2 linked regions of the Canis lupus familiaris genome follow. The protein of the gene in region 2 purifies or fractionates together with the protein of the main gene of each other region. This does not show direct contact. Links are inferred from orthologs where the notes say so. Each region holds a gene or a part of one and is shown on either strand. Other genes may lie near its edges.

Region 1 (8,974 bases), on a different chromosome or scaffold from region 2:
GAAACAAGGTATTTTGCTAAGCAGATGGTGGACCTGTCCCTGGTCTCTTGGAAAGAGATCAAATGTCAGGCTGGTGGGTGATATGGCCCGTTTTAGGACCAGACCACTGGTTCTTCACCTGGAGCCACTTGGGAGCCTAAAAAGCCTCTGGATGCCTGGCCCTCCCCATTCTTGAGAATCTGATTTAATTGATCTAAAGTGTGGTGCAGGCATCTGGAGTTTTGGGAGTTTTTTTTGCAGATTTTTCCCCCCAGGGATTCTCATGTTCAGCTAAGGCTGAGAACTGCCGGCCCAGATAGCTCATGTAAAATACCAAGAGCCAGAGAAGCACAGCTGGAGGAAATCTCTCCCTTCCCTATCTCCTTTGTACCAAAAATTAATTTTGAGAAGTTTCCAAAATCATTTCTCTGAGATTTCTGAGATTTTAAGAAATCAGGGAAAAGAGAAACTGCTGGGGGTGGGGGGAGGGGGCTCTGAGAAGATGGCATTTGAGCTGACTTTTGCACAATAGGAGTACCCCCTCCATGCCTGGGTGGCTCAGCGGTTGAGCGCCTGCCTTCGGCTCAGGGTGTGATCCCAGAGTCCCAGGATCGAGTCCCACATTGGGCTCCTTCCATGGAGCCTGCTTCTCCCTCTGCCTATGTCTCTGCCCCTCTCTCTGTGTCTCTCATGAATAAGTAAATAAAATCTTTTTTTTTTTTTTTTTTTTTTTTAAAAAGGAGCACCCCCTCCAACCTGGGTGAAGATGCAGGGAAGCACATTCCTGGTAGAGGGAACAGCAAACGCAAAGGCCTCAGGGCAGGAGGATGAGGGTGAGTGGGGCTGCAGGGTGGTGGGTGCCCTGGAGTGTGATATGAGCTGAGTTTGAGAGGAGGCCAGGGGCCAGAACACATGGGCTCAGAGGCCCCTGTAAAAGGTGGAGATTTTGTTCTGTGTCAAGAACCCATGAGAGAGTTTTAAGCAGTGAAAAGACACGATGTCATTGATATTTTTATAAGATCACCCTGGCTTCCAAGGCCACCTAGGAAGGAGAAAGCCAGAGAGAAGGCCACTCCTTCCCAAATGATAATATAGCTGGATAATCCACAAAACTATATCTTCTCTGAGCCCATCTGTGAGCTAAAGTTGCAGGGCAACCGACTAGCCTGGAGTCTAAGGAAGGCAGGTGCCTCCAAGGAGAGAGGGGACATGAACAGTGGCCACCTGTGGCCAAGTGCAAGGAAGAAGGCAAAGCTGCCATGAAAATGGGCAAGAGCAAGTCCTCCCATGATTTGAAGGCTTGCATGAGAGCACAGAACTTCTGGGAAAGTCAAACAAGTGGAGTTGATACCCACTTGCAGGTGCTTCTCCACAGACTTCCACTGGACCTCATAAAAACCAGGCACCAGGCAGGGACCACAGGAAGCCTCTATCAGAGGAGCAGGCGTGGGGCCCTGGCTGCTGGAAGTATTCACAGCCCCCCAGACTCTTCTTTCCCAACAAACCAAAGCTGGGGAAGGGGCTGTGAACTCAGGATACAGATGATATACCCACTGTGGGCAGTAGGAAGGCAAATACCCTCTACTCTATCTAGGGGCAGGAAACTGTCCATTCCCAGGGGAGGGAAGCATCACGGGAAAAGGCTCAGCCCCTCAGCCCAGGAACATGGCCTGCCTGACACCAGGATGGAAGGTGGCTCCGCCACCCGTCAGATGGGCCAGCACCAAGTGATGTAATGGTAGACTTACCACCTACAGAGAGCAAAGAATGGAGAAAGAGCCTCTTTAGGCAGTGGCACACAGGGAAGGTGTAAAGCCGAGTTCATAGCAGGAATATCACCAGCCCAGCCACCCCCTGCCACCAAGAACATGGTAACACCAGGGCACTTTGCAGCTAGCAAGGCACAAAAGGTGACTGTAACAACAAAACCCAAACCCAGCTCAGCTCCTAGCTTGGCTGACTTGACTGCTCACACTGACAGCCTGGCAGGAGAAGAGGTGTGCCCATTTGCAGGCATCCCTACCTCTTCCTTCTGTCTGACTGCTGCCCCACACAGATCCGGCATTCCTTAAAGGAATACAAGACACACAAGTGAGCAAGTGAAAACAATGCACTGCTGAGAGACAAATCACTCCACAGAGCCAGGGTCAGAAGTGATCTGGACGTTGAAGCTATTAGGCAGGGATTTGTAATAGGGTGGGCTTGGCAAGTATGGCCTGAGGTTCGAATCTGGCCTGCCTCTTGTTTCTAGAAGTAGTTTTATGCAACACAGCCATCCTTGCTTGCTCGATACTGTCTATGGCTGAATGGACCCTACAGTGGCAGGGCTGAGTAACCGTCCGGCAGCCGTAGCAGGAACCGAATGGTCCTGAAGCCCAAGATACTCACTTTCTGATACTTTTCAGCAAAGCTTGCTGAGCCCTGGGCTGGGGGACAGGGAGGTGACAGAGAGGCCAGGGGACGCTGGTGCACTCACCCAGGGGAGCAGTGACAGGAGCCTGCCTCCACGCCTGTGACAAGTGGCAGGAGTCAGAATAGATGCTTCAGATAGAACCAACAGAATTTTATCCAGAGCATGTATAAAATGGACAGTATTTAGAGTTTCAGATTTACTGTCTACCAACGAGATCCCTGTATTAAAACACATATGTGCAAGCATGTGCGCACGCATGCGCACACACACACACACACACACACACCAAAGAGCAATCAAATGACTGACAAAAAACAAGATAAGTTTGGTCTGATGGCTGCCAGGATCGGACACTCAGCACCTTACGTTTTCAGCAGCCCTGACTCCCCGCCCCCACAGTACCAGAAACATCCCCTAGAGTCTCTGGGTTTGGATGGGTAGAGCTGGAAAACTTGAGAAGAGGTAGAAAGCCGCACACCTTCCAAGGGAGCCTTCCCGCCTAAGCGGCACCTGTGAGGTTCCCAAGTGTGCCATTATCTTGTCACCACGCTGGGACATCTACACCAGCTACAGGGCTTTAGTCTCAATCCTGTAATAGGATCAGCTACTGGCAAGGACATGGCTGTAGGAAACACTGCAGCCAGGGCGTCACCACTTGCCCTGTGGGGCTGACTGTGCCACAGACACGTGTCTTGGGCAGACACTTTTTAGAAGCCAACTTGCTTGTCATAAAGATGAAGCAGAGGTGGGCTTGGGGCAGGGCCTGTGTTATGGGCTGAATGATGTTGTCACACACCCCCCCCCCCCCCCCCGGCAGTTCATGTGTTAAAGCCCTAACCCTCAGTTCCCCAGAATGTGACCTTATTTGGACTTAGAATCTTGAGGTGATCAAGTTAAATGAGGGGTGGGGGTGAGCCCTAATCCCATATGACTGGTGTCCTTGTACAAAGGATAGAATTTGACTCTAGACACAGAGAGGAAGATGCAGGCCAAGCATAGTGGCCCTGAACAGATGGTTCCCTTGCGGCCTTCAGAAGGAAGCAGCTCCTGCTGGCACCTTGATTCCAGATGGCACACCTGGAGAAGTGGGGAACAGCGACTTTCGCCTTTAGACTACCCAGTGTGTGCTACTTTGTTACAGCTGCCTCAGGAAGCCGGGACAGCCTGTTAGCCCTTGGAGGGTGGACAGATGGAGCATCAGGCACCCTGTCTACACCTCCCAAAGTGTGTTATGTGAACCTCTGGTGCACGTAGCTGTGCAAGGTAATGTTGGGTGGCACAGGATGAATCATTTTAATTTACACAATTGTGTATTTCTCTTACTGTGTAAATGCTTCTAAGAATCATTATGCATTTTCAGTGCCACTGAAATATAGATTTCAATGCTACTACAAATAGAAAATATAGGTAACATTGAAAATGTGTGGATGCTCAGATATTCTTAGTGTTATCACTTATAAAATTCAGCATGAGATTAAAGTAGGGCTAGAAGAAAAGGGGAGTTAATATAAAGAATATTAAGCCATGAGACGTGCAGGTTGGTAGCTAGGTGAGGCCAAAGGTGCCTGCAAATGAGAAGGCTCCTGGGGAGGGGGGCAGGCAAAGAGCCTCGGGCTCAGAGCAGCTTGGCGCCCTGGGCTCAGCCTGCACCTTCCTGTCCACCCCTAGCCCACTACACACACACACACACACAGATGCACACACACACACACACACGTTGCACCATGCTTCACCATGCCTAAGGAGGCACAGTGGGGACTTTGTTTCAGAAAAGAAATGCAGGTGTGCCCAGCCCTCCTGTAGAGGCACACTGGCTTCGCTCCATCCTTTGGCTTTCCCTCTTAAAAGAAAGCGCACAGCAGAGTCCCGTGTGTGCTCGCTGCCTCCCACCGGCACCGGTCACCGAGCTCGGCGGGTCCTGAGCCTGGTGGGGACCGTCAACTCGCAGGTCTTCGGAAACCAGGCGGCTGCGCTGCGGTGGAGCCTTGAGCCCAGGGAGGCGAGCGGGAGAGGTGGGACCTCCAGAGTCACCGCAGGGGAGACACGACCGAAAGCAGGGATAGGGAGGAGTGGGCAGCCCGAGAAGGTTTTATTTCTAAGGAAGGGCTCCTGGGGGCTGAGTCCGGCAGGCAAGGATGACTTCACTGCAGGTATGCAGGGGTGGTGACCTGCAGTGGACACGTGGGATAAAGACGGTGACCGACCTGTTCCCCGCCTCCCTCCGCATCTCTCTTCCCTCCCCCTGTCTCAACCCTCCCCTTCCCTCTCCACCCTCCCCTCCCTCCCCACCTCTTCCCCCTCCGCCCCAGCCGTCCCCCAGGCTCACCCTGCCCGCGTCGTCAGGCAGCGGGGCCTCCCTCCTGGGCGGGGGCGCACAGGACCTCGAGGCCGCGGTCCGGGGCGCGCGCGCAGGGCCGAGCGGGGGCGCTGAGGCCGAGGAGCCCGCGCCGGCCCGAGGGCGCCGTGTCGGGGGTCCCGGGCGCGCCCGCGCTCTCCTGGGTGGGCTGCCTGCGCTCCGGGAAGCAGAAGCTGCACGTCTCCACCGGCTCTGGCGGCGACGCGCCCGTGGCGCTCCCCGCTTCCATCCAGTGATCTGCGGGAAGGGCGGAGGGCGATGGCCTTGGCCTTGGCCCCCGCCCGTCCTCAGCGCCCTGCCCTGCCCCAGGGGACCCGCGGCCGGCTGGGCTGTCGGCCAGTTGGGCTCCCCGCGGTCAGCGGACTGCCGGCTCGCCCACTCCCCAGCGCCAGCTGCCTTTCTGCTGGGAAGGAACAGGTTTCGCCCCTTGGCCGACCACCCCTAGGCCCCCCAGGGGGACCACCTCCTCCAGGTTTCAGCCCGGAAGCCCTGTGCGGGGCCAAGCCGGCGGCCGGCAGCCCACATCCACGCTTCCTCAGGTCTTGATGTGAACTGATCTCACCAGACAGAAAAAGTACTGCAGGGATGTGCCCCAGGCCTTTGTCAGGAAGGGCTGGCAAACTGCTGTCCTTTTGGAAGCAGGGCCAGTGCCAGGACAGAAGGCCGACCAGCAGATTGTCCCACAGGCCCCGGGAGTCTGAGGGCCCGATCTGTGCTCACCCTTGGAGGACTTGGCCTGGGTCCGGCATGGTGCTGGTGAGGGCTGGCAAGAGAATTGGTCCCCTCTCCTCTTGAGGAAGCAGGCCACCGCCAGGATGAAGCAGCAGATGATGGCACAGAGGCAGAGCCCCAGAGTGCTGTAGACCAGGGCCAACTGTTCGGTGCTCAGCTTCAGCCCTGAGGGGTGCCACAAAGCTCCCGTGAGGCACGAGATTGGGAGGGGCTCTCCACCACCCAGGGCCCTTCTCTGAAGTGTCCCTGCAGGCTAGCAGCCCCTTGTCCTGCAATCTTTCTTTTCCCTCATTGAGCCCAAGCAAGCCACATGGCCGTCCCATCCACCTGCCCCCTTGGAGGGCAGAGCCCTCAGCCCCAGCATGCTGTCCACCTGTCTGGCTCCTGGAGAAGTTGATTCCCGGCCTCACTCAGGCTTGCCTGGTGTGGACCCTTCTCTAGACTCTGGAGACAATCAGCCCCCTCTACCCCAGGCTGGTAGCAACTTCTTCTAAGAGCTCAGAGCTGGACACCTCTGGAGCTGGCTCTGTGTGCCATCTGCTCTTTCCCATAGGACCTAGATCGGGCCAGTACCAGAGGTGGATGGATAAGTGAAGAGACAATAGTCCTGGGCAGATGACTCTGCCCTGACCTGGGCCTTCCTCCAAGAGGTGGCCTTCCTGGGGAAGCAGACTTCGAGAGTGGGACAGGTCCAGTTGCTAATGAATCTGGGATAGCAAACCAGGAGGGCCCAGGAGAACTGGGGTGCTGGTCACCCCACTTCTCAGGGTCTTGAGCCTCTGGTTTGGATGCCAGAGGAAGACTCAGCTCCAAAGCCCTCCCCTTGAAATTTTTCCTGGCCCCTGGAATCAGGGCACCCCCTAGGCCCCAGGTGGAAGGACAGATGGGCCAGAGTCAATACATGTATGTAATACACTGATGATGTGGATGACCCCCTGAGCCCTTACTACGTTACTACGTGCAGGCCCTCTGGGGAGTGGCCCCCGTGATTCCTCTGCTCCTGGGAAGGAGGATTGATGACTCCACCTTTGGGTATTGAGATAGAACTCATATGCATCAAATTCTTCATTCTAAAGTGAGCAACTCAGTGGGTTTTAGTATATTCACGAGGTTCAGTAACCGTCACCACCATCTGATTGGGAGAAGTTTCCATTACCTGTGAACTCACTAGTAGTCACTCTGAATGTCCCTTGCCCCAGACCCTGACAGCCCCTAATCTACTGTCTCTGTGATATCTATTCTGGGCATTTCATATGAATGGAATCATACAAGTTGTGTCCTTCTACATCTGGCTGCTTTCGCTGAGCATGTTTTCAAGGCTGATCCACACTGTCGTGTGTGGCAGGACTGTACTCCTTCCTATGGCTGAATCATGCTCCATTGTATGGTCATAACATGTTTAGCCGTTCATCTGCCGATGGACGTGTGGGTTGTTGCCATGTTTTGCTATTGTGAATAGTGCTGCTGTGAACATTTGCATGCAAGTTTTCATGCAGACACATGTTTTTAGTTTTCTTGGGTTATACCTAGGAGTGGAATCTCTGGGTCAGATGGTAATTCTCTGTTTAAGTTTTTGGGGAATGTCCAGCAGTGGCTGCACCATTTTACATTCCATTTTGCAGGTGACAAAACCGATTCAGAGTCACACTGTTCCTGGTCACAGATGCCACTGGGAGTAGGTCTGATGGGCTCTGGGCCAGTGTTCTGGGCTGGCCACACAGAGGCAACGAGAAGGACACCACTCCCTACACACGTGCCTCAGAATCCCGAGTTTTATAAAGTGACAGAACTGGCAGGTGCCACCCCGACATTTACAGAGGGAGAACAGGGGCTCTGGGCAGTGCTGTCCTTTGTGCCCCTTGCCCAGAGCTCAAGAAGGCCATGGGGCAGGGGGAAGCAAAGGACCCCCAGCAGGGCACACCCACTATACTCGGGTGCTACAGATCTGGAGACCAAGGCCCTCAGAGGAAAAAGGAAGCAGGGAAGGGTCATAGGGCAGAGGGCAGAGCCAGGAAACCGTTCCCATTTCCCAACTTCCAGGTCTTTCTGTCTGTCTACTGCTCCTACTCGCCTCTGACACAAAATGACATCAGATCACTGAATCCACAGGGGAGAGGCCAGCAGCCTTCATTCACGTCAGAGCTGGAATGCCTGGCCGCCAGATTGCTGGGTACAAATGAACTGCCACGTAGATTCAAGGAGAGTCTAAACAGCTGCATAGTTCAGATGTTCTCAGCACGAATTCTAACACCCAAACCTGGCAGCACGTATTCCCAGATGGTCCCCAAAGAACCGCCTCCCATTCGTAGCCTCCCTTCAAAATGGCTGGGCTGGGCCTCCCTGCAGCCAGTGGGAGGCAGCAGTGCCCTCTGTGCCCGTCCTGGTCTGAGCCCTCCGAAGGCCTGGCAGCCCTGGCTTCTGCCCAGGGAGAGGTCACGTGGGGAGGAGCGTGGCCCGGTCAGCCCAGCCTCCCACTTGGAGCCAAGCCTCCAAGTGACTCCATCCTCCCACCACCTGCCTGCGGCTGCACACAAACCCCAAGTGGACACCAGACCTGCCCAGCTGAGCCCAGGAACCCACAGAACCCTGCAAGATAATGAAGGGGTTATTTGTAGGCCACTAAGTTTTTGGTGGCTTTTGGAGGCTGCAGTAGACAAACAGCATGGAGATTGTGCTCCTGAGGGAGTGAGGGGCTAGTCCCCACTGCTCTTCACCCCTCGGCCAGAAGCAGCGATCTGCGGCTTCCCGCGGACCTGCTGGTGACTTGTCCCTAGTACATGCTTCAGAGCCCCCGAACGAGGAAGGGAAGCACAGGTTAAAAGTACAGGTGTCCCATCTATCTCACAAGAGCACCTCGTTTAGTGGTAGTGCTAGGGGGAGAAGTTTGAGGGCCATTTGGCACCATCTACCAACATGGGGAACACCCTTTCCCGATTCCCGTGGATTCCCCAACTTCACTTCCAGGGCCACATCCCACCCACACAGACACAGGGTTTGCTGGAGCTTTGTTCAGAGCCGCAGCCTGGGTCGTCCTAAAATGGCCCAATCCCCAAGAGGTATGCAGCAAAAGCAGGAGGTGAGCACTTTGGATGCCAGCAGCGGTGTGAACCACATAAGAAGCTGAAGATGTGCCCTAGATGAGGAAATGTGGGAAGGTAGGTCCCATGCCCAGTATAGAGCCCGACATGGGGCTCGATCTCAAAGACCTGAACTGAGACCAAGAGTCGGACACTCAACCAACAGCCTCCTCGGCGCCCCTCTTCCTTTTCTTTTCTAAATGATTTGTATGTGTGTCATCTATTCAAAACAGAGAAAGGACTCGAAGCTGCTCTGGTCTCCCACATGTCCAAAGGGCCTTGTAAAGGCCGACCAGAAGGCCAAGGAAGTCATAGAGTCCCAGCAGCTGGAGGTCCCATGAACGGGAGAGCCGTCCCCTGCTTCTTTCTGTACCACCTGAATGGGGCCTGGCCCTGCGTCTGGCAGCTGGGAGCACC
Region 2 (10,939 bases):
TTTGAACTGTGCTAACTTATCAATTTGGCTATTCAATAAAGTTATTGAAAGAGCTTACATATAGTGACTAATTTTTTTTAAATTTTTATTTATTAATGATAGTCACAGAGAGAGAGAGAGAGAGAGAGAGAGAGAGGAGGCAGAGACACAGGCAGAGGGAGAAGCAGGCTCCATGCACCGGGAGCCCGACGTAGGATTCGATCCCAGGTCTCCAGGATCGTGCCCTGGGCCAAAGGCAGGCGCCAAACCGCTGCGCCACCCAGGGATCCCCAAGTGACTAATTTTTTAAAGGGATATGAATACCTGCTAGTCACTGAATTGTGCCATGTTTTACATTCAAGTCAACGGAGGCTATTGCGGAAAGCACTTTGAATCTAAGCTGGTGTCTGGGATGTCATAAACCAAATTCTTGGATGCTCACTCCTCAAGGATTGCTGGGTTTAAAATTCTAGATTGAAAGGGGTTGTTTTTGTTTTTTAAAATTCTTGACATGTTTAAGATACTACTCCGTTGTCTTCTGGACCCTTTGGTTATTGATAAGATGCCTACTGTCAACCTGATTGTTATTTTGAAGATAATCTGTTAGCTTTCAAGATTTTTCTTTTTTCCTTAATATTCTATAGTTTGGCTACTTTGAGTTTATAGTTTATAGTGCTTGTTTTTCAGAGCACATTTTAATCTGAAAATCCTCATGTATCTTGATATCTGGAAAATTCTCAGCTGTTTATTTTTTTAAGTGAGAGATGATTGACATAAAGCTATTTTCTTTTAAAAATGTGTCGTTTAAAAAAGTTGTCATTTTCTTTTTTACTCTCAGAGTTCCTATTAGATGAATATTTCCACTAATTCATCTTGTAACTGTGTCCAGGTTGCAGTTTTAATTTCATCTAATGAGTTTTATATTTATATAACTATTTTTCATTTTCAAGATTGATTTTTTTAAAAATATCCGTGTAGTTTTGATTGATTAATCCCCGATTTTGTAAAGGGATTAATAAAAAGAGAGAGAGGCTTATAATTAAAAAATTATAAAGGCCTTTTCATAAAATTATTTCTTTCTGGAGCAAATTGTAATTTTTTAAGTTTTTATTTTAATTCTATTTAGTTAACAGTGTTTTATATTAGTTTCAGGTGTACAATACTATAATTCAGCACTTACATACATCACCTGGTGCTCATCATAAGTACACTTCTTCCTCTTTTTTTTTTTTTTTTTAATTTCAACTCTACCCCACCCTGTGGGGTTTGAACTCAGGACTCTAAGATCAAGAATTGCATGCTCTTTCAACTGACCCAGCCAGGCACCCCTCAACAACTGCATTCTTTAATCCCCATTCCCCATTCTTTAATCCCCTATTTGATCTATACCCTCACCCCCCACGAATTCCAATTTTTAATTCGGCTGGCAATTTAAATATCCATGTTTTTCAAAATTTGAGTTTGTAGACTCATTGGAGTGAGAGAATCAGAATTTTTTTTAAGAATTTTTTCTTAAAAAGATGTATTTTATTAATGGAGACACCGAGAGAGAGAGACAGAGAGAGAGAGAGAGAGAGAGAGAGGGAGGGAGAGGCAGAGACACAGGCAGAGGGAGAAGCAGGCTCCATGCAGGGAGCCCAACATGGGACTCAATCCCTGGTCTCCAGGATCATGCCCTGGACGGAAGGTGGCGCTAAAGCGCTGAGCCACCCGGGCTGCCCTGAGTGGGAGAATTTTTGTTTTTGTTTTAGCTTGTCTCTATCCAAGCCCCTTCACCTATCTATGGGTGTTTTTAGTCATATTTTCTAGCCCTTTCCCCAAAACGAGGGCTCATAGTGGTGTTTTTGGGCTTCTGTGCTGCAGTGATTTGACTGAAATCACCATTTCAGTCACCAGCAGTGGGAAGACTAGTTGTTGCCTTCTTCTGCCTCCCAGATTAAAAGTTGAAGTCCAAAACTTTGTGGGTCAATAGTGAATGATACTTTGAATATTTTTGGAGGGAGGGAAGGCCTCAAGAAGTGAGTTCAACCTGTTTGTCTCTGTGTGTTGTGTGGAGGACTTTCAGTGGCTTTTAGCCCCTAGAACGTGCTACTGTTGCCTGCCTCTAGACCTGCAGCCCCATAGGCACCTGACTTGTTTAGCTCTGCGATGCTGTTTCTGATACTTTTTATCTGCTAAGATGTTTCTCTTGTTTTTGAGGTTTTTAAAAAATTATTTATTCATGAGAGACACAGAGAGAGGCAGAGACATAGGCAGAGGGAGAAGCAGGCTCCCTGTGGGGAGCTCAATGCGGAACTCCATCCCAGGACCCTGGGATCATGACCTGAGCTGAAAGCAGATGCTAAACCACTGAGCCAACCAGGTACCCCCTGTTTTTTAGTCTTGCTATTTCTTTTTCTCCCTTCATATTTCTAGCTGTTATTTCTGTGTAAAGAGGGATCTGAGCATGAACTTCCTACCTAAATTTCACCCCAGAAATTGAATTCTAGTTTCATCACTTTCTGACTCAATCTCTTCAACTTCGTATTACATGTTATCAATAAAGTATTATTGCTAACCTGCCTAAACAATGCTACATAAAAATTTAAAAAATGATACATGAAACTAATTGAAAATGCCTTATTTTGACACTTCCTCTAAAAGAAAGATTTCTTTGGGGTGCCTGAGTGGCTTAGTGAGTTAAGTATCTGACTCTTTCAGCTCAGGTCTTGATCTCAGGGTCATGCCAGCTTGGAGCCTGCTTAATAAAACAAAAAAAATTTTTTTTAATTTTTATTTATTTATGATAGTCACACAGAGAGAGAGAGAGGCAGAGACACAGGCAGAGGGAGAAGCAGGCTCCATGCACTGGGAGCCCGATGTGGGATTCGATCCTGGGTCTCCAGGATCATGCCCTGGGCCAAAGGCAGGCGCCAAACCGCTGCACCACCCAGGGATCCCTAAAACAAAAATTGAAACTAAAAGAGGGATGCCTGGGTGGCTCAATTGGTTAAGTGTCCAACTCTTAATTTCAGCTCAGGTAATGATCTCAGGTCATGGGATAAGCCTGGCATTTGGCTCTGCACTTAGCATGGGGTCTGCTTGTCTCTCTCCCTCCGTTCCTCCCCCCACTCATTCATTCTCTCTCTCTCTCTCTCTTCTCTAATAAATGAAATCTCTAAAAAAATAATAAATAGTAAAATTTTAAAGATTTTTGCAACTATTCATAAAGGTTTGACCTAGTGCTATCAGTGCTTTGCTATAGGTTTGGGGCAAAGTGGTAAATTTTTAAAAAAAAACATTTTATTTATTTGAGAGAGAACAGGAGCATGGAAGAGGGCAGAGGGAGAAGCAGACTCTTGCTGATCAGTAAGCCCCATACCAGACTCAATCCCAGAGATCATGAACTGAGCCACTTAAGACAGCCGCTTAATCAACTGAGCCATCCAGGCACTCAGGAAAGTGGTAAATTTAAAAAAAAATGAGTGGGTATGCCCTTGTAAAGTCCATAATGAGGGTAATAGAAATTAATATAAGAATCTTAAGTATTCACACCATTTATCAAAGAATCCTTTATACCATGGAGAAGTACTAGGCAGTTTAATCAAACTACAGAAACCCCACAGGGAAGTGGTTCCCAAGAGATAAGTGAGCATGTAACATAAAATCCTCACACTTTGAATCCTTAGCAAACTAAGGGCACTATCATGCATCGACACAGACAAAATTTAAATTTTGCTTCTATAGGGTCTATTAAATGAAAAAAATAGTTTATCCTGGAATTATATTTAGTTTTGGTTCATCAATTTTTTATGTCATTATGTTCTGTACATTTGTTTTTTTGTTCTGTACGTTATTATGCTTAACAATTACTTCAGTTTTAGAAGTTTAAAAAAAACTGGCTTAGAGATATAGTTCTGTACATACAGGCAGGGCAACCTTTTCTAGTGCTTCATAATTATTAAATAGGGTGTGTCCTTGCGATTTAGCTTTTATCCAATCAAGGGAGAAAGTCCGTGTTTATACCTTGGCTCCTCTTTTCTTTCTTTCTTTCTTTTTTTTTTTTTTTTAGATTTATTTATGCAAGAGAGACACAGAGAGAGGCAGAGACACAGGCAGAGGGAGAAGCAGGCTCCATGCACCGGGAGCCCGACGTGGGGATTCGATCCCGGGTCTCCAGGATCGCGCCCTGGGCTGAAGGCGGCGCTAAACCGCTGCGCCACCCAGGGATCCCCCCTAGATTTATTATTATATATTAATTGTCATTACACCTTTCTTCTGACTTTAATAAAACACACTTTCTCGGGTCCCTCCCGCTACCGTGGTCCTCAACGCTGCCTTGAATAACTTGGCCCTGCTGAGTGCTCATGCTATTCCAGGAGTTGCAGTTCCCAACAAAATGCAATGCTTGTGCCTTTCGGCCGGAACCTCCATCTTCCAGTAATTTGCCAAAATGACCAACACAAAGGGAAAGAGGAGAGGTACCCGCTATATGTTCTCTAGGCCTTTTAGAAAACATAGAGTTGTTCCTTTGGCCACATAACATGCGAATCTATAAGAAAGGGGATATTGTGGACATCAAGGGAATGGGCACTGTTCAAAAAGGAATGCCCCACAAATGTTACCATGGCAAAACTGGAAGGGTCTACAGTGTTACTCAGCATGCTGTTGGCATTGTTGTAAACAAACAAGTTAAGGGCAAGATTCTTGCCAAGAGAATTAATGTCCGCATTGAGCATATTAAACACTCAAAGAGCCGAGGTAGCTTCCTGAAGCGTGTGAAGGAAAATGATCAGAAAAAGAAGGAAGCCAAAGAGAAAGGTACTTGGGTCCTACTGAAGCGCCAGCCTGCCCCACCCAGAGAAGCACACTTTGTGAGAACCAATGGAAAGGAGCCTGAACTGCTGGAACCCATTCCCTATGAATTCATGGCATGATAACTGTAAAGAAAATAAAAGACCTCAGGATTGTAAAAAATAAAAATAAAAAAAAATGCTTGTCTTCATGGAGCCTACATTCTATCTAATGAGAAACATTCAAAATAAGTACATTTAGCATGCAAGTCAGTTGTAACTGTTAAGAAAAATAAGGCAGGTAAGGGGAATATGGAGTCTTGAGAAGGGTGGCAATTTAAACAGAATGGACAGGGAAATCTCCACTGGGACAACCCTGAACAAAGACGTGAAGAAGGCCAGAAACACGTAAGATAAATATTTGGGAGAAGAGCGACTGAGGAGAAAGAATAAACCTGCGCCAAGAACACATCCTAAACGCAACTCTCTCTAAAGCGTCGCTCCCTACTGACGTATTTCCGTCGTTTAGAAGCGAGGTCGCAGACGGTCACTAGAAACAAGTGCCTGGCGCAATAGCCTCCATTTTGCTTTTGGGCACCAGCCGTTGGTGGGTTGGGGCCTTGCCCTCCTTCCTTTCCTTCTTTTCAGCCTGGGGGCTAATTTTCTTCACTTTCGAGGTAACAGTAGAGAAGCCCGGTGGCCTGGGAGAGTGGCCACGAGGGCTAGCCCAGGGAGGAGGACCTCCCCCAACGCTTCGTACCTCCCCCACGCTTCGCCCCCCGCCCGACTGCCCTCATTCAAGATGGCGGCGCAAGCCTCGCGCTTTGTCCGGTCGGATGGCACGCATGCCTAGCACGCCTGTCTGGCTTGGCGCTCGGGGGCGGGTCTACGGCGGGGTGGGGGGGCGGTGGTGCGCTCGTACCCTGCGGCCTGGCCTGAAGTCATCTGCGGCTCGGCTGCCGCTGCCAGCAACACCTTCAGCGTTCCCTGGTGTTGGTGGGGAAGATGGAGCCGTTGACTGTCGCGTCTGACAGCGGCGACCGGCCGGGAGCTCCAGCGACCTCTGGCCTGTCGGCTTCCCAGCGTCGTGCGGAGCTGCGGCGGAGGAAGCTGCTCATGAACTCGGAGCAGCGCATCAACCGCATCATGGGCTTTCACAGGCCCGGGAGTGGCGCGGGTGAGAGCCTCCCGTCTCCCCTTACTCTCCCGCCCGCCGCTTTGAGTCTCCAGGGCCATTCCTGCTCTCTTTCCCTCCAGCGCCCCGCTGGCCTTTTTGACAGAGCCTTGCTCTCTGACCTTCCCTCTGTCCCGGACTTTTTTTTTTTTTTTTAAGATTTTATTTATTCATGAGAATCCCAGAGAGAAAGGCAGAGACCGATGCAGAGGGAGAAGCAGGCTCCTTGGGATCACGCCCTGAGCCACCCAGGTGCCCGTCTGTCCCCTCTTTTTAGGTGATGTCCCAAGTTCTCACTTATCACCCCCCCCCCCCCCCCCCCCCCACACACACACACGTTTCCCCCGTTTTGTGCGGGCTTCGCTCTGCTTGTCCCCATCTCCGCCCCAGGCTGCGAAGCCTTGGCGCCTCCGCCTTGGCGCCTTCTGGCCCGTTATGCCAGACACCCCCAGCTTCATTCCCCACGCTCTCCCTTCTGTCCCCGGTTGCACCGCTCTGCCTGTTATGTCCCTCGGTAAAATTGCTCTTCGGTTCTTTCCCTTCGAAATGCTTTTCCTTCCAGTGCCTTTGCCATAGCGTCTGTCTACCTTCTTTTGCCTTTCGCTGTTGCTCTGTCCGCCCCCCGGAGCCTGTGTTTATTTACCTGCTCCCCCAGTCCTTCCTACGTGGTCATCTATCCTGGTGCCTGTGTCCAGTGCTCTCAACACTGTCCTCTTCAGGCTTTCTAAACAGATAAAACTGAGTGACCATTCTTTACCCCAACAAGTGGGACGTGCCCCACCCCCACCCCCACCCCCAGGTCTTTTCTCCCAATTTGCTGAGATTGATGTGATTGAAGTCAGGAACCGCGTTTAACCCGAAAGAGAGTTCCTCATTTCTCCCCCAGTGCGTGTACAATTCAATGAATATTCATGTGAATATTTATTGAACATGTAGTATGTGCTAGTGTTCTCTTAAGTTTCCATGGAGCTTCTTTAGTAATTGACCTTTACTCAGTATTTGCAAGCTACTGAACGCTTTGTGATTTCTGTGGGCTTCTGATAGTCAGTCCTGAACACTTAGATAGTTTGCAGGTTCACAGCCAAAACTACCAGGGAAGGTAAGGAGCACTATTTCAGATTATCCTAGAACAATAGTTAGACGCATTTCTCCCTTTAATAACAGACAGCAGGTATTTATTATTTCCCAAGACATTTATTGTCCTTCTCAAGTTATATTCTATATTTTGTTCTTTAATTATGATAATTCTATCACTAAAGCTTTTGTTTTGCTTTGGAAGCAGAACAGCATCCTCAAATTGCTTAATTACCTACTAATGGCTCCCTCACTACAGTAGAAGGATTACGTAAACAGTAGCTGTAGGGTATGCCACACCCTATGCTGACCAGATTCTGGGTTCAGAAATGTGATATTAAAGTACAGATTTGTAAAAGCTTTAATGATTTTAATCAAATAAGCTACAGCAGGCAATGCAGTCATTCTTCTGGGATATATTATCCATGAAAACCTGGTCTGTATAGCTTGCTCCATCTCCATGACCATCTTGCCCAATTTGTCTGCTAGTCTTATCTTCTACTCCCAGAATTTGGGTTGTATCCTCTGCCAGAATACTCTTCTGGGGGTGTAGAGGAAGAAACTAGTTTATGTTTTACGCAGAATCAGTGTTTAGATTCAGAGACTGCAGAGTTCTAGCAGCGGCATATTTTTTAATATTAATATAAGAGCTGTTTGCCAGTATACACTCCATAAGGCTTCTAAATTTCTTTTCTCAGAAGAAGAAAGTCAGACAAAATCAAAGCAGCAGGACAGTGACAAACTGAACTCCCTCAGCATTCCTTCAGTTTCAAAGAGAGTAGTGCTGGGCGATTCGGTCAGTATAGGAACAACTGACCAGCAAAGTGGTGTGGCCGAGGTAAAGGGGACTCAGCTGGGAGACAAGTTGGACTCTTTCATTAAACCACCTGAGTGCAGTAATGATGTAAATCTTGAGCTCCGGCAGCGGAACAGAGGGGACCTGACAGCAGACACTGTTCAGCGGGGTTCACGCCATGGCCTTGAACAGTACCTGTCCAGATTTGAAGAAGCAATGAAGTTACGGAAACAGCTGATTAGTGAAAAACCCAATCAAGAAGATGGAAATACAACAGAAGAATTTGACTCTTTTCGAATCTTTAGATTGGTGGGATGTGCTCTTCTTGCCTTTGGAGTCCGAGCTTTTGTTTGCAAATACTTGGTAAGAAACATGGAAAATGCAGATTGGCTATATAATGAGTGCTTTTGATCCATGGAGTTGATTGCCGGTATTAATATTTACCAGATTAATATGGCTGTTTTGAGATATATTATTACACTGCTCTTCCCCCTAGATATAGATGAAATGTTCTGGTTGAATACAGAGCCCAATAATAATTACTTAACTCTGTATTCTAGGCAGCATTCTGAGTGCTTTCCATATATAAACTCCTTGAACCTCATCCTTCTGACTGTGTTTTATAGATGAGGAAATGAAGACTCAGAGGTTAAGTCATTTGCCCAAGGTCACATAGCTACTAAATGACAGCTGGGCTTTAATGCAGGCAATTTCTTTCCAAAACCAAAGGGTAAAGTATCTACATGTATCATATATTAATTACTACTATTTAAATAATTTGAAACCTTAAAATGCAGTCCCTGTGGTCCTGAACATGATGTAAATTTCCTGTGATTCACCAAGCACTTCAGCATTTTATAATGTTGTAGTATCATCGTGATGGCAGTCCATCTTCACCACGCCTTCACTTCACTCGCCAGGAGAAATGAAGAAAATCATAGCTCATATTTCTGTGTCTTGCTTTTTTTAATTTTTTTAATTTTTTTTTATTTATGATAGTCACACACAGAGAGAGAGAGGCAGAGACACAGGCAGAAGGGAGAAGCAGGCTCCATGCACCGGGAGCCCGACGTGGGATTTGATCCCGGGTCTCCAGGATCACGCCCTGGGCCAAAGGCAGGCGCCAAACAGCTGCGCCACCCAGGGATCCCTGTGTCTTGCTTTTGGAAGAACTTTCATTCACTAGACTTTTTAAGAATATCTACCCAGTACCCAATTTGCACATAGCAAATTTTTCAGATAATTAAAGTTTATAGTAAACAGCAAGAAAGGTTTTAAAAATATACTTAATGGACATTTTTTAAAAAGTGAATCTGTCATACAGACTTTTTTTCTGACGTTAAATTGTCATTATAGCTTTCAGTATTTAAAAATGAGATGTATGGCTGCTTCCTTTTTCCTTTTTCTTATCTAAAGGGCCATGTGTTTTTAGGATTTTAAAGTTATGTCCTATATTTGTGCCTCATTTTTGTGTGAGGTTTTTTTGGTTTTCTGGGGTTTTTTGCTATCAGATTTTCAGCTGTTACTTCTCACTGCTTATATTATACATTCATCTGTTAATGTTTACTCCTTCACTCCCTTCATAATATTTTTAGTTTTAGGAATAAATGTAAATTAATTATTGTTTTGACCTTTCCGATTTTATTGTGTGAGAAGCAAGACAACCACTCCATTTTATCTATAGTAAGAATAGCTTGCCATTTGGATGCTTAACAATGTAGCTAGTGAGATCATTACTTGCCACAGTGTCTGGGAATGTATGGCATCTATTGAATACTGGGTCTTTTATGTGTGCTTTGAAATTGTCAGTTAATTACCTCTAGACAAGAGAGATGTTGCTGCATGATGTATTATACATCTATATCACCTCTGAATACTTTAAATCATTGAAAGAATAAATTTTTGCGAGAGTAGACTTTGGGGGGACATCAAAAGAATGTAACTTGACTTGAGAAACATATTTTATGATAAGGAAATCCATTCCCTTTATTTTTTTCACCCTTGAGCAGAAACAAGACTATTTTCAGCTTCTAAAATATATATATATATATATATTATTTTGCTTGGAATTTTATTGTTGCTGTTAGTTTAATTTGTTGTGGTTTAAATGATGATGTTGGAAATACATAATTTTATCTTCTATCTTCACAGTCCATATTTGCTCCGTTTCTTACTTTACAACTTGCGTACATGGGACTATACAAATATTTTCCCAAGGTAAATTAAGCTTTTTCTAAATTATGGTGATGTATTTAGACTGATTAATGATTTGACAATTTTAAGAACTTAAAAAAAAAAATTAGTCATACTCATGGTCTGAATCAGTGCTACTAGAAGTATCCTTGGCCCACCAGTGCTGATCTTAAAGCTATTTATTTGTTTGTAACAAGTTCAGAAAGCAAGTGATTAGAAACTTCTTAGCAATTCCACGTTGCCTTAACATTTAACAAAATTTTGGTCCACCGTGGATTGGAGGGAAAACTTAACCATGGAGTTTGAATAATACTTGTCTGAAAAGTGTTCAGTTTAATTACTTAGTGAATTTAGTAATACATTTTATCTGTAATAAAGGAAATTAATTTTTAAAAAATATTTTATTTAGGGATCCCTGGGTGGCACAGCAGTTTGGCACCTGCCTTTGGCCCAGGGCGCGATCCTGGAGACCCGGGATCGAATCCCACGTTGGTCTCCCGGTGCATGGAGCCTGCTTCTCCTTCTGCCTGTGTCTCTGCCTCTCTCTCTCTCTCTCTCTCTGTGTGACTATCATAAATAAATAAAAATTAAAAAAATAAAAATAAAAATATTTTATTTATTTATTCATGAGAAACAGAGAGGCAGAGGGAGAAGCAGGCTCACTGTGGGGAGCCGGATGCGAGATGTGATCCCGGAGTCCTGGGATCACTCCAGAGGCAGATGCTTAACCTCTGAGCCACCCAGGCATCCCAGAAATTAATTTTAAAACGGGTTAAATTACCTTACTGTGCTCCTTATTGGACACCTAGTAACAACACACTTTATCTTTAATGTCAGGGGCCTGGTATTTGCAAGAAATACTTGTCCAAAATTGCAGAACAGAATCCTGGAGAGTGTCATGTTTACCTAGTCTGCTTAACTACAAATGTATACACAGTTTTATGGGACTTG

Evidence for each region.
Region 1: the proteins of CAMLG (region 2) and TNFRSF13B purify together in Homo sapiens (affinity purification with western blotting; 3 studies listed by BioGRID and IntAct, with this or other methods). This does not show direct contact. The link is inferred for Canis lupus familiaris from reciprocal best matches to the Homo sapiens genes CAMLG and TNFRSF13B.

Annotation. Positions count from the first base shown.
Region 1 is NC_049226.1:42,692,525-42,701,498, reverse strand, and holds the end of TNFRSF13B (tumor necrosis factor receptor superfamily member 13B), read right to left. Parts: exon of another isoform or gene 8,791-8,974; intron 5,646-8,790; coding exon 5,469-5,645; coding exon of another isoform or gene 5,284-5,468; exon of another isoform or gene 5,022-5,283; intron 4,986-5,021; coding exon 4,732-4,985; 3' UTR 4,719-4,731; intron 4,561-4,718; 3' UTR 3,188-4,560; downstream 1-3,187. Other genes in the region: USP22 (ubiquitin carboxyl-terminal hydrolase 22), read left to right, coding at 720-810. UniProt on the Homo sapiens protein: Receptor for TNFSF13/APRIL and TNFSF13B/TALL1/BAFF/BLYS that binds both ligands with similar high affinity. Mediates calcineurin-dependent activation of NF-AT, as well as activation of NF-kappa-B and AP-1.
Region 2 is NC_049232.1:22,826,861-22,837,799, forward strand, and holds the start of CAMLG (calcium signal-modulating cyclophilin ligand), read left to right. Parts: upstream 1-5,612; 5' UTR 5,613-5,756; coding exon 5,757-5,928; intron 5,929-7,697; coding exon 7,698-8,158; intron 8,159-9,946; coding exon 9,947-10,012; intron 10,013-10,939. UniProt on the Homo sapiens protein: Required for the post-translational delivery of tail-anchored (TA) proteins to the endoplasmic reticulum.